Macaca fascicularis: one gene and its partners. The protein of the gene in region 2 purifies or fractionates together with the protein of the main gene of each other region. This does not show direct contact. Links are inferred from orthologs where the notes say so. Each region holds a gene or a part of one and is shown on either strand. Other genes may lie near its edges.

What was found. The genes of interacting proteins can lie anywhere in the genome.
Region 1: the proteins of ARHGDIA (region 2) and RHOC purify together in Homo sapiens (affinity purification with mass spectrometry; 4 studies listed by BioGRID and IntAct, with this or other methods). This does not show direct contact. The link is inferred for Macaca fascicularis from reciprocal best matches to the Homo sapiens genes ARHGDIA and RHOC.
Region 3: the proteins of ARHGDIA (region 2) and EZR purify together in Homo sapiens (co-purification; 3 studies listed by BioGRID and IntAct, with this or other methods). This does not show direct contact. The link is inferred for Macaca fascicularis from reciprocal best matches to the Homo sapiens genes ARHGDIA and EZR.

Annotation. Positions count from the first base shown.
Region 1 is NC_088375.1:121,673,252-121,677,544, reverse strand, and holds the start of RHOC (rho-related GTP-binding protein RhoC), read right to left. Parts: upstream 2,918-4,293; 5' UTR 2,868-2,917; intron 898-2,867; exon of another isoform or gene 813-897; intron 1-812. UniProt on the Homo sapiens protein: Regulates a signal transduction pathway linking plasma membrane receptors to the assembly of focal adhesions and actin stress fibers.
Region 2 is NC_088390.1:88,245,412-88,249,913, forward strand, and holds the start of ARHGDIA (rho GDP-dissociation inhibitor 1), read right to left. Parts: upstream 2,963-4,502; 5' UTR 2,846-2,962; intron 2,457-2,845; exon of another isoform or gene 2,183-2,456; intron 1,581-2,182; 5' UTR 1,554-1,580; coding exon 1,364-1,553; intron 1,249-1,363; coding exon 1,165-1,248; intron 1,034-1,164; coding exon 957-1,033; intron 876-956; coding exon 812-875; intron 715-811; coding exon 515-714; 3' UTR 1-514. UniProt on the Homo sapiens protein: Controls Rho proteins homeostasis. Regulates the GDP/GTP exchange reaction of the Rho proteins by inhibiting the dissociation of GDP from them, and the subsequent binding of GTP to them.
Region 3 is NC_088378.1:67,154,868-67,159,122, forward strand, and holds the start of EZR (ezrin), read right to left. Parts: upstream 2,918-4,255; 5' UTR 2,870-2,917; intron 1,760-2,869; 5' UTR 1,687-1,759; coding exon 1,675-1,686; intron 1-1,674. UniProt on the Homo sapiens protein: Probably involved in connections of major cytoskeletal structures to the plasma membrane. In epithelial cells, required for the formation of microvilli and membrane ruffles on the apical pole. Along with PLEKHG6, required for normal macropinocytosis.

The DNA.
Region 1 (4,293 bases), on a different chromosome or scaffold from region 2:
CTAAGGTCCAATCTAGAACAGATTGTCCCTCAGCACAAGTCATACCTGTCCAGTCACAAATAAGGAGTCCCTCTCTAGGACCAGAGTAGCAGAACCAGCTACCAGGTGGTAGGTGGGTAAAGGAAGAATAGTTATAGAGTCCCTAGGTGCCAGGCACTCTGTCGGGCATTTTGGCAGGAATTATCTCCTTTGGTCCCCAGATGCCTGGGAGGTAGATGGTGTACTTTCCATTTTGACAAACTAGGAAACTAAGGCTCAATGAGGTTAAGACAGATTCAGAGCTGTGGCTTATAAGCGGCAGGGATAGCATCCATAGCAGGACTGTGTGACTCAAAGCCGTGCCTCTTCGACATGTCACCTCAGCGGTAGGAAGGAGAGCAGAAGCAGGGAAACCCAGAGGACAGGGGCAGCAGCCAGCCAGCTTCCCTGGTCCACCCCACCCGGTCCCCAAAGCCCCAAGTCATACAAAGGAGGCTCAGTCCCAGCAGTGCCCACAGCTCGAGTTTGGGCAGGCTGCCTTCCTCCCCCCTTCCTCCTGGGCCTGCCAGCAACACTGGGTCACTCAGCCCCTGGCAGGGGACAATGACCACACTGTAGGGAGCCACACATCCACCACAGCACAGTGACTGAGAAGAATCCACCAGGGAATCACCTCCACCCACTCTGGAACAGTCCCTTCCTCCCTTGGTCCAGCTCACCCACAGGCCCTGCCCACCCCTCCCTGTGACTCAGGGCAAGGAGTCAGCTTCCCGGGCTTCCAAGTGTCCCCCACCCCCAGCACACACGGCGAGCATCTGCACAGTTCATCACACCTTCGCAGCTTCCCTCACTTCCTCCTTCCCTGGGGAGGGGAACCGGCCTCCAGCCGGCTGAAGTTCCCAGGCTGCAGGAAGAGAGGGCGGGCTCTGGAGCTGAGATGAAGTCAAGGCTGTTGGGAAGAGGGAGGGGGCTAGAGTCTGGGTTGGGAGGAGTCCCAAAAGAAGAGACAAATGAGGGCCAGTCCCAGCACCAACCAGGCAGGGAGCAGTTAAGAAAGCGACGGTAACCTGATCTCGGCTTCAAACCTAGCTTTTTCTCTCAGTCCCACATCCTGTCAAACTGGGCTGACTGAAGGCCTCTACTCCCCACACCCCGCCACCACCTCACACTGCCCTTTAGGAAACGAATCCTCCAGTCCCAGGCCTGTTCCCTTCAACAGCAGATCCTAGGTGGCCCTTCCCTTGCCTCCACACACATTCACAAAACTGTCGGTTTTGTGGACGTGAGTCAGAGAATTTACAGGAGTTCAAAGTACACAGCCACACTCTTCCCACCAGAAAATGGACTCTCTCTGATTCCCCAGAAGACAAGCAAGAAGGCTTTCACCCTGCCGGCAGATAGCCTCCAGAAATGGAAACCACCCTCCAAAAAGAGGGTTCCTCGGGAATTCTATCCAGGTGACTGACGCTAGGATTTCTTCCAACTCCTCCACCCACTCCATTAGTTCACCTTGCCCTGTTTTGTAAAGATGGGCTGGGGTAGCCCCACCCTGGGGTGGGCAGTGTTGATGGAGGGCAATCACTACTGGGGTGAAAGCCAGTCACTTAGGCATGAGTATGTCACTGCTGTCCCCCCAGCAGGGTAATTCAGATGGCACCAGAGTGGTAGGAGGCAGAGGACAGAAGCCCGGGGTTGAGGCATGTGTTAAGGGACCTGGAGCCTCCAGCTCAATTAGAAGACCTTCCCTCCAGGCTATGGTTGGGCCGGAACAGCAGGCAGCCCAGGCCAGGCCAGGACACTAGGCCCAAGGCCAAGATGGCATGGATAACTCCCTATGGGAGGCAGCCCCAGAGGGACTGTCCCACTGACCCCTTAAGAGGGGCAACTGAGCCCCACACAGGTCCTGGAATGGAGCCTGGAACTTCTGGGGCCTTCCCCAAGACAAGACAGTGTGGATACACCAGATCTCTCTCCAACCGCTCTCTTGAATTCCCAGATGATCCAGAGCGGCCGGTTGACTTTGCTGACCCACCCTACACCTAGGGAAGGAATCCGTTCTGGAGATACCAGGAGATACCTCATTCTCAACTTTAAAACCAGAGTGAGGGTGGGACTCGGCCTCAGGATCCCAGCCCCAAAACCCCAGGATACTCCTTGTTGGTTCGAGTATGAAGAAGGAGAAGGATTCTCATTCTCATTTTCTCTCTGTCTACACACACACACACACACACACACACACACCCCCCACAGACACACACACACACACACCCCCCACAGACACACACACACACACACACCCCACAGACACACACACACACACACACACACACACACACACACCCACCCACAGAGTTGGATCCTTCCCCATCTCCCTTATCCTCAACACAAGCGGGCTCCAGGAACCGTCTAGGGCGGCGTCCAGACCCTGCCGAACAGTGGCAGGTCCCAATGGTCACATCCCGCCCCTATTCCCGCCATGCCTCCCTCCTGGCCTGGAGGAATTCCCACCCCATCCCACTCTAGGTCCCCTGCGGCCGCCCGCCCTGGGGGCTGGAGCGTCTGAGTTGAGGCTCCCTCGCCCCTCACCCGGCGGGGCAGGTTCCAGGAAGCTGGAAGGAGAGGGGAAGGGGCTCCGACTCGGACCTCAGGAGGCGAGAGCCCCTGCCAGCAAGTCCGGGCCCCCTCGCTGCAGCCCGGGGAGGTGCCGACGCGGCCGACCCCCGCCCAGCCCGGATGCCGACTCCGCAGGGAGGGAACGGGGTCCAAGCCCAGGCCGAAGCCCCCTCCCTGCACGGGCCTCGATCTCCGGCCCAGAGAGGAAGGCAAAGTGCTCTCCCGGGGACGAGTTCCCAAGACGCCCCGCTGCCCGCAGACCCGGCCCAGGGTACCTTCGGTTCCGCCGCCTCCAGCTGCGCGGCCGGTGCCTGAGGCTCAGACTGACCCCAGGGCCCCGCCCCGCCCTCCTCCAGCTCCGCGGCGGGGAGGGCGGGCCCGGCAGGGGGAGGGTCGGCTGGGGGCGGCCCTTGGCTCGGCCCGCCCCGGCCCCGCGCAGGGCGGCCGCCGCTTCCCTGGTCCGCAGGCCTGGGGCCGGGGGCGTCCACTCCGCCAGGTAGGGGAGGGCCACGGGGTTATTCCGGGACTGCGGAGGAGCCGGGCGAGCGGGGCCAGCACTACCTGAGTGAACTCACTCTGCCCAACCTTCCAGCCCCTAGGGGAGGACCGGCGTCGGGAAAGTTAAGAGTGCTAGGGGTGGGGTCAGGAAGGGCCGCTGCTGCCCTCCTGTGGCCAAGCAGCCACCCGCTCTTGCTGCACCTGGGACCTCTCCGGAGGCGGGACTGGGAAAGGGCAGCCCCCGGCACGTCCCAGGGCCCGGCGTGGGTGTGTTGGTTGGGGGAGATGTTCACTCTCTTGTTCCTAGGATCGTACAGCCCAACGTCATCCCCCAAACTTGAAGACCTCTCAGAGCCGTTCAGACCCAGACCAGCGTTCCTCCTCACAATTCGCTTTCCTCCCTGGGCCTGGAATTTCCAGGAGTCCAATTCCTACCTACTCCTCAAAGGGTGCTCCTAGAAATGCTTCCGGATCCCAGCTGGGAATTCTGTTCCCACTTCTAGTTCTGACTTGGTGTATAGGATACTTACCTACACGCGTATCTCCTTTTCCTGTAAGGAAGCTGAGGAGGTGGGAGTAGAATGAGGACGTCCACCAACATTTCATTGGCTTGTGCTTGGGACACTACACAGCTTAACCCTTTCAATATTCATCACAGATCTTTGGGGAAAATATACCCATCCCTTTTTGCCCATAGGGAAGCTGAGGCTCAGAGAAATCAAGTGGCTTACACAAATGTTTTTGACTTGTGACAGCAAGAATTCACACAGCCGGGCCTGTCTGGCTCCAAACTGGTGGTCTGGCCCTGCTACTTCCCAGGCTCCTCCAGCCTGTCCCTTCCCCCGTTGTCTAGCACAGTGAGTGGCACGTAATAGGTTGCCAACAAATATTTGATGAATGAATGAATGTTAGGAGTCATACAGACTTTATCTGAAGTGCAATCCAGACATTTGACAAATGTGAAAACTGAGGTCCGCAGCAGTTTGGCCCCAGGCCTCTTAACTGGCTCAGTAAACATTTCTTGAGGGTGAACTGAGAGCTATGTTTGGAAGATCCATTTCTGCCTTCAAACAACTTAAGAGTCTAAATGAGGAATGCAGACAATTTCAAGATGGCTAACATTTATTGAATCCATATTACATGGACCTGGGTCCACATACATTAACTACAAAAATCTCATGAGGTAGCTATCTTCATTTTACT
Region 2 (4,502 bases):
GTTAAGGCATCATGGTTAGACGGGACTGACAGCGACAAAGGGGCTGGCCAGGGAGCAGCAGGGCTGGAGGATGGCCCGGCCCCCACAAGACCCTGCATCCCACACCCCAGCTCCACCACGGAGCAGCAAACGCACACGTCCAGGGCCAACCACGGGGCCTGGAGAATGGCTGCTCCGCTCCTTCCTTAAGCCAGGCCTCAGGTGTGACAGGGAGATAGAACCTGGGGGGCACGGAAAGGGCAGCAGAGGCCTGGCTGGGGCCTCTCTCCCCCACAGCACAGGCAGAAGCAGCAACGAGACACAAGACCACCGAGGAGGCTGGGCCTGTGGGCGGGGGAGGGTTGAGGAGGGGGGTCGGAGGCACTCGGTTGAGCCAGGCCAGGGAGGCGGACCAGGGTGGGAGGGGCACGGAGGGCCTGTCAGCACTTTGGTATGGGGAGGGGAGGGGCTGGGGGGACACATCCGCCTGTCCGTCGTCCGTCCGTCCGTCTGCCCTGCCTGCTTCTGGCTGGGCTCAGTCCTTCCAGTCCTTCTTGATGGTGAGATTCCACTCCCAGGACAGGTGGTCGGTCTTGTCGTCGTCTGTGAAGCGGGACTTGATGCTGTAGCTGCCCCGGGCCAGCATACCCTTGGGTGCCTCCTCCACGGGGGTCAGGAACTCGTACTCCTCGGCCCGGGGCCCATAGCTGCCTACCATGTAGTCAGTCTTGTCAACTGCGGCACAAGGAAGAGGGCGGTCAGCGGCCCTGCGTCCCCGCTGGGCACCACGCACCCAAACGGCCCCCTCCGCCCTGCCCGGGGCCCCACTCACTCTTGACGCCTTTCCTGTACGTGTGCTGGATGTACTTCATGCCGGACACGATCTCTCTGTTAACCTGCAGGACCCGAAGCGAAGATCAGGGAAGGTCGGCCCCAGTCCCGCCTCCCTTCCCTGGCCACAGCAGCCGACAGCTTACCCGGAAAGAGATTTTTATCCGGTACTCTACACCCTCTTTCAGCACAAACGACTGCTTCTTGAAGCTCTCCAGGTCACCTGTTGGGGGGACCTCTCCTTCAGTGACTGCCCAGCAGCCCCGCGCCCCCAGCCCTGCGCGGCCCCTTGGCTGCACTTCCCGAGATCCCCACCAGGGGCCGCCCGAACCCCCGCAGCCGCAGGGCGCTCACCTGTCAGGTCCAGCTCCAGGGGGCCCGGGGCCGAGCTGCACACCAGGGTCAGGCCAGTCACGACGACGTTGGGGACGTTGGGGTCTGGGGAGTGACAGGAGGTGAGGGCCTCACCCCCGCCAGTGGAAGCAGGGGCTGGGGAGCGGCAAGACAGCTGGAGTGCACGGGTGGTCACCGGGCTCCCGCAGCCCAGACTCACCTGCCGAAACGGCCACGCGGCCCAGCAGGGCCTCCTTGTACTTTCGCAGGCTCTCGTCGTCCTTGTCCAGCTCCTGGATCTCCTGGATGCTCTTCTGGGCCGGGGGCTTGTAGTTGACCGAGTGCTCATCTTCCTCGTTCTCTGCTGCAATCTGGGCCAGCTGCTCGGCTGTGGGCTCCTGCTCAGCCATGCTCACGCTTAGCCTGGGTCAGGACACCTGTGGGCGGGACGGTGGCAGGCCTTGGACCTGGATCCCCAACGGAAGCGCACTTTCTGAGCAGAAGCGTGGACTGCAGCCAGAGCTCCAAAAGGGCTCCAAGGGGGCCACCCTCGCTCCTCTCCTCCGCCCAACTCCTCCTCAGGGGCATCCTCTGGGGCAGTGTGAGGTGCCCCACGCCAGGTATAACATCTGAGACAAAATGGGAACTGCAGCCGGTCCTGGGGAGAGAGGGCACACCTCCCCCTCCACGATGGAGGAGGCAGCAGCCCCCGGCATGCGTGGGGCGGGGCTAGTAGGCCCCAGACCCAACTGGCAGGGCCCACACTAAAGCCTCTCTTATGGGCTTGCTGCTCCTGAGCTGCCCAGGCCCTTGCCCTACCGGGTAACGGAGCTGGGTATCCCTCAGTAGGGATGCTCCTCTGGCCGCGCTAGTCACATGTAAACCTGTGTGGTCGGCTCATCCTCATCCTCATCCTTCAAACAGGATGCCCCTGGAGCTCGGATGCTAGAGGCAGCCAGAATACCGCAGGGAGCCAACGGGGCACAGGGGATCCTAAGTATCTCCGGTTTCTCTACAATTGTGAGAGTCTGTGACCTACACTTGGGAGCTACCACAGCCGCTCAGTACCGTTGGGCCCTCTTGTAGATCGGGAGCCGGGAGTGCCCGGGGCAGCACTGACCCGGCAGGGACCCGAGCGCGGGAATGTCAGGCTCAGATTCTTCCCGGCAGCGTGGGAGGTGGATCAGGGAGCAGCCCACCCGGGACGCCCAGGCTGGGGTCCAGGCCGCCCTGCTTCCTCCAGGCGCTGGGGCCTCTGCGCCGCGCAAGGGTGGCCGCAGGCGCCGGGATCCTAGGGCGCGGCCCGCACTTCCGCAGGGCCCGCAATCCGCGCCGGGCGTGGCCCGGGCGCTGGGGGAGGCCGCGCCCCAATCCCCGCGTCGCCCCGGAACGCCATGGACCGCGGCTGCCGGCCCGGCGCCCCCCGCGTCCCCAGGGAGGGGTCCTCCGGTCTGGCCCGGGCCCCACGCGCTTCGGCGGCCATGAAAGAAGCTCAGGGGCGCTCGGGCGGGGCTCGCAGTCCCCTGGCCCCCGCCGCCCCTCCGGCCCGGGTCCCGCACGTGGGTCCGGGGCCGCCACCACCCGGTCCCGCCCCGGCCCCGCCCTGACCCGCGCCGCCCTGGTCCGCTGTCACCGCGCCCCCGCCCGCCGAGACCCCGCCGGGGGCTCAGGGCGGGGCGCGAACAAAGGCGGAAGCCCCTACCCCGGCGCCCCCCGCCTCCGCCGGCGCCGCCGGTCCCCGCCCCGGCCCGCCGCCTCCGCCCCGCCACGGCCACTCACCGGAGGGTTCGGCCGCGCGGCTCAGGCTCCCTCCCGCACTAAATGACGAACGTCGTCGGCCGCTCCGCCCGCCCTGCCTGTCACTTCCGGGGTCACGAGACTTCCGCTCGCTCGGGCGGGGAAGGCCAGGGCGCATGCGCGGCGCGCGGGTGGCCGGGGGCACGGCGTCGCCATCTTGCGGCCGGGCCTCGTGGGCGCGTTCCGCGTGGGTTCTGGAGTCGTCACCTCTGTAAGCCAGGGCACTTCCCCCACGCGAGCCCAGGGCGCCCGCGCCCAGGAGGCGAGGTCCCGTCCCGCCTCTCGCCGCTGTCCAACCCGCGCCCACTGCAGGCCTGCGGCGGCCGCGTGGGCTTTGGAAGCTCGCGCAGGTGCAGTTCGCTGCCCTCCCCGGCCCAGTCGGTCCTACTGCGACTCTCGTTTCGGGGCCTTGTTATCTAGTCCCGGGACTTCGGGGAGGTAACGGGCACGGGGATTAAGTTCTCGTTAAACATAGGCGAGTGCGCCGGCGCGCGGGCCGCTCCAGAGCCTTGGTGTCTCCCGTGGAAGGACAGGGCTTTGGGACAAGGAGGAGCCCCTTGCACGCCCACGCCCCATGGAAAGCTCGTGGTGGGCGAGGGCGCAGCCGCGGCTTTTTTCTCCAGGTTGAGACAGAATTCATGCGCGGCTCGCGCGGCTACTTGGCGCAGGCACAGCTGCAGAGACCCTAGTATCCCTCAGGAATCTCGCGACTCCTCAGGACCAGAAGGCAGAGACCTCCTGGCACCGTGAGCAGATGAGGGGCTTCCTTAGCCTGGGCTTCACCGCAGACGCTCAGGTCCCCACTCCACTTGTTCCGAGATTTCACACATTCGCCCACAAGGACCGTGTTGAAGCATCAGGAACGGCCGCATAACGTGAGTGGCCTGGCCTAGCTGTAGTGCTCGCACTCAGCCCTGTGCTCTCCACTACTGGAGGCCAAGCCCCTAAAGGCCCTGCACCAGACACTGGGTGGGACGCTGCCCCACGTCCAGCCCGCAGCACTTGTTAGGGCTGTGGACTCGTTAGCGTGGACTCCTCTTTTTATTTATTTATTATTTTTTTGAGACGTAGTCTCTGTGTGTCACCCAGGCTTGAGTACAATGGCGCAATCTCGGCTCACTGCAACCTCCACCTCTCAGGTTCAAGCAATTCTCCTGCCTCAGCCTCCCGACTAGTTAGGACTACAGGCGTGAACCAACATGCCCAGCTAATTTTTGTATTTTTAGTAGAGACAGGGTTTCACCACGTTGGCCAAGCTGGTCTCGAACTCCTGACCTCAGGTGATCCACCCGCCTCAGCCTCCCAAAGTTCTGGGATTACAGGTGTGAGCCACCACGCCTGGCCACCCCACCTCTTTTAATCACTCTTGAGCTCCAAGCAGACAGGGCCTTGTCTGGCCCATACTGCCAGGCTTCTGGCAGGGAACCCAGACTGGCCAAGAGAAGCGGACACCACTCGCACACACGCGCGCAGCTGCTTTGTTCAGACACATAAATGAACACAGGAGGGCATTTTTGGGAGCCACTCTGCCCAGCCCCAAATTCTTTTGAGCTATTTTCAGC
Region 3 (4,255 bases), on a different chromosome or scaffold from region 2:
CTGAGCTCTGCATCTCTTCTTTTAGTGAAATAAAGAAAACCACACCCAGAAGGGTAATCTTGACCACTCCTCTGCATACCCTTGCACTCAGCTCTGCCTAAGTAAGGGGTTGTACTTAGGTCAGTTTCATACCACATGCACTGTCAAGCCTGGATGTCACGTGTCACTTTTAAGTTTGAATTAAAAAGAAAAATTTTGTATAGAAAATACTCTGCACCGCAAATAAATCTTAATGTAACTTAGGCAAAAATGATATTGGCTTCTGAATCTATTGGCATATTAATATTCTCTAACCTAACAGCAAAATTAATACCTCTAACAAACATCTTCTTAGAGAACATAAAATTTAACAGTAGAAAAAGCACCAAGGCCGGGTGTGGTGGCTCACGCCTGTAATCCTAGCATTTTGGGAGGTCGAGGTGGGCGGATCACCTGAGGTCGGGAGTTTGAGACCAACCTGGCCAACATGGTGAAACACCCTCTCTACAAAAATACACAATTTAGCTGGGCATGGTGGCACATGCCTGTAATCCCAGCTACTCGGGAGGCTGAGGCAGGAGATTCGCCTGAACCCAACAGGCAGAGGTTGCAGTGAGCTGAGATCAGGCCACTGCACTCCAGCCCGGGCGACAGAGGGAGACTCTGCTCCCCACCACCTACCTCCCCCAACAAAAAAAAAAAAAAAAAAAAAAAAAAAAAGGCACACAATCATTGATTACAGAACCAACTTGTTTGAAAAACCAGAAAAAAAATCCGGATGTATCTGTAATCCCAGTTTGTAATGAACCCTGTTATTTTGTCCACTGTGATTCAAAACTCAAAAAATGTTAAACCTTCTCCCGAATAGTCACTAGTTCCCCAGCGTTAAAAGCAGGTAGAATACATACAACTTTCTAAGAAGTGTCAGTCCCAGAGAACCTGCCTTTTGCCTACAACCCCCAGGCCTAGCCAGCAATCTCAACACAATCAGATTCAAGGAGACAGAGGCGCAGGCACAGCCCTTTCATCAGTTGACCAGGAGTGCTCGGCCCAGCGTGCCAAGAGCCGCTCATCAAACTCCGCCGACTGCCTGCATCTACAATTCAAGTCCATGGCTAACCTTCTGTTAAGAGACAGAAATTCTGCTGCAGCCAGTAAGTTTCCTGGTGAACAGGGCACCGCTTCATGGGCCTCGTAGGAAGCGAAGCTGAACGGCAACTTCCGAAAGCCAGTCTCCTCTCCCAAACGCCCTTTAAATCTCCCCAGTTGGATCTTGGGCGCCTGTGGTTTCGGACCCTTAGGAACTCTGAGAGCTGGTGTGTGTGGTCGGAGGCCATTTGAGTCTCCCTGTGATTTGGACTTTTTAAGAAAATTCGAAGTTGCATTACCATACCCTTTAAAAACAGACGGAAGCAGTGTAAAAGGGCCTCTAGTTTTTAGAGAAGATCGTAACTACTGGGGAGGGGGCTCACAAAGAAAAAGACTGCAGAGAAAAGCATCAAAATGGTGTTTTCCTAACGCTCCACAAAAGGGCCAACAAGTAACAAAGAGCGGCGACAACCCCCTATTCCTATCCTCTTCTGCGTGTGAGAAAAGCCTTCTTCCACCAGGAACTGCCCCAACACCTCGTGCAGGTGCCTCCCCTCGCCAATGAAGCCTCCCCCGTCCGCCCGTCCCAGAAACTGGGCAACTTACTGGTTTCGGCATTTTCGGTTCCTGTTGAGTATCCTCGATCCCCGGAAACACGACTCTCCAGCAGCAGCGGAGACGCTGTCCCAACCTGGAGTCAAAGCAGAGCCCTTAGAGCGCCGGTCGGCCCTGCCTCGTCCTCCTGCCGCGCCCGACACTCCGCGCCCGCCGCGCGCCGCCGCTTAAGAACCGGCCAGCCCGGGCCGGGGTGAGTCAGCGCCCCGCCCAGCACTGCGGGCACGGGGAGGGGGCGCGGCCGGGCGGGGCCCCCGGCGAGGAGGGGCCTGAGCGCGGGGGCGCGCGCCCAAGGGGCAGCCGGCGGGCACTCGAGGTGCCCCCAGTTGGGGGGGTCCGGAGAGAGGGGGTGCGCACCCGGGGACCCCCAGCATTAAGGGGCTGGTGGGGGACGCGGGTCCGGGAGATATAGGGCAGGGGGAACGCTCGGCGGAGAGGGTCGGGGGGAGAGGGCACGGGCCCCGGGGAACACTCGGCGGGGAGGGATGGGGGAAAGAGCGCCGACCGGGCGGGAAGGGGTCTGGGGGGCACTCCAGGTGCACCTGGCTGAGAGAAGTGGAGAAGAGAGGGCGCGGGGCCCGGGGTACCCGGCGGGGAAAGGCCCGGGAAGACGGAGCGCGGGCCTGGGGGAGAGAGGGCGAGGGGCAGGGGGAATCACCTAGGAGAAAGGAGTCCCGGGAGCGCCGGCGCGAGCCCTCGGGGCACTCGGCAGGGAGGGGTCAGGGGAGAGGGGGCGCATGGCCGGGGGGCACTCGGCGGGGAGGGGTCCGTGGAGAGAGGGCGCGGGCTCGGGGTCAGCCGAGGAACTTCCCAGGGCTGCCAGGAAGCCCGTGAGGAGCCGAGCACTCGGCAAGTTTCACTTTGTGTAGCAACCGTTGCCCCGCGGCTGCAATCGCAACCGTCACGCCTTTGAGAAACTCTTTCAAAAACTGCAACCGCCCGGGAGCCGCCAAGGGACGGCGCCCAGGCACCCAGGCTCCGCGTTTCCTTCGGGAGAGGGGACCTGGTGCCGAGGGGAAGGTCGCGGGGCCGCTGGCCGGCTCAGCTCCACTGCCCCTCGAGTGCCGGGCAGAGACCCGCGCCGCGCCCCCCAGGCTGCCCGCCGTACCTGCATCCGAGCTCCCGCCGCCCACCCGGTCCCTCCGTCAGGAACCCCCGCCCCGACCCCCGCCGCCGTACGCCTCACCCGACGCCTGCAGTGCTCCGTGTGCTCCCCGCCGCCCTGGCGTCCGCCGAGTGCGCTGGCTGCCCGCGCTCCCAAGAGCCCTGGCGGGGCGGGTCCCGGGGCCACGCCCCTTCCCGCCCAGCTCCCGACCTGTGAGGTGCGCCCCCCGCAAGATGGCGGCGGCCGGGACTCGGGCTCGGAGGCGAATTTGGCGGAAGTACGCGCTACTCCCAGCGCAGATGCAAGTGGGGAGGCTGTTTGTCCCACGGCGGGCAGGGGGAAGTCAGGAAAACGTAAATAAATCTGGAGGGGCGGACGGCCCGGGGGAATTGCTGGGCCGCTTGGGGCTGGGACCGGGGGCCCTTTCCGATACCCCGGCCCTGGGGCGGCTGCACCTGGCCCCAAGTCTCGGTGCACGTGGCCGGCCCAGCCGCTGTCTTCCGAAGCTCTGGTTAAGCGGCACTTTGTGGCCTCTTTTGACGTGACTAGCAAAAAACTCCATGGGATTTCTCTGCAATTCTAGGAATTAAGTTTTTTTGTTTGTTTTTTGCTAATGGTACTCAACAAATTTTTAAGACACACAAAACACGTGCTTTGGGGGCCGGTAGAATTTGTTGCGGGAGACCTCACTCTAGAAGGGGTTCTCAACGTCTGGCTTCCAGACGAGCAGCAACAGCATTCACTGGGAACTTGCAGAAGTGGAAATTAGGTGTTGCTCAGCCTTAGGATTCAGAAACTCTAGGACTGGGCCCAGCAATCAGTGTATTACAAGCCCTTCAGGTGATTGTGATGTTGGCTAAGGGTTGAAACCAGAGAGCTTCTCCAGAATTCATCTCCTGGGTTTACTGCTCCCTTTCTGCTTTTAGTTTTCTCGTCTGTAAAGTGGCATAATTATGGCACCTGTATCAGAGGGTTGTAATGGGGATAATGAGTTAGTACATATAAGATGCCTGGAACAGTACCTGACAGTAAGCACTTAAATCTATCCTGGTAGAGAAACTAGTGACTTTGGGTGAAGTTCCAAACTCTGTATCCCAGTTTGTTGAATGAACATACTAGTAGCCCCTCCTACATACACTTGTAAGGATTAAATGAGATTGTGCATGCAGAGTGCTTAAGTTGTGCTAGCATCATAGTAATTGATGCTTAACCTGCCTTCCTAGTGCCACACTGCTGTTTGGGCAACCCTTGTCAGGGCCTGTAATCTCCCACTTGCAGGTCCAGGGCATTTCAGAGGTCAGAGAGAGGAGGGAGGCCTCTTCTGAGACTTTGACCTCTATTCAGGTAAGTGTATTCCCTCTGAAAGACTGAATTTCTTTCCTTTCCTTTCCTTTTTTTTTTAGACGGAGTTTCACTCTTGTTGCCCAGGCTGGAGTGCAATGGCGCAATCTCGGCTCACTGCAACCT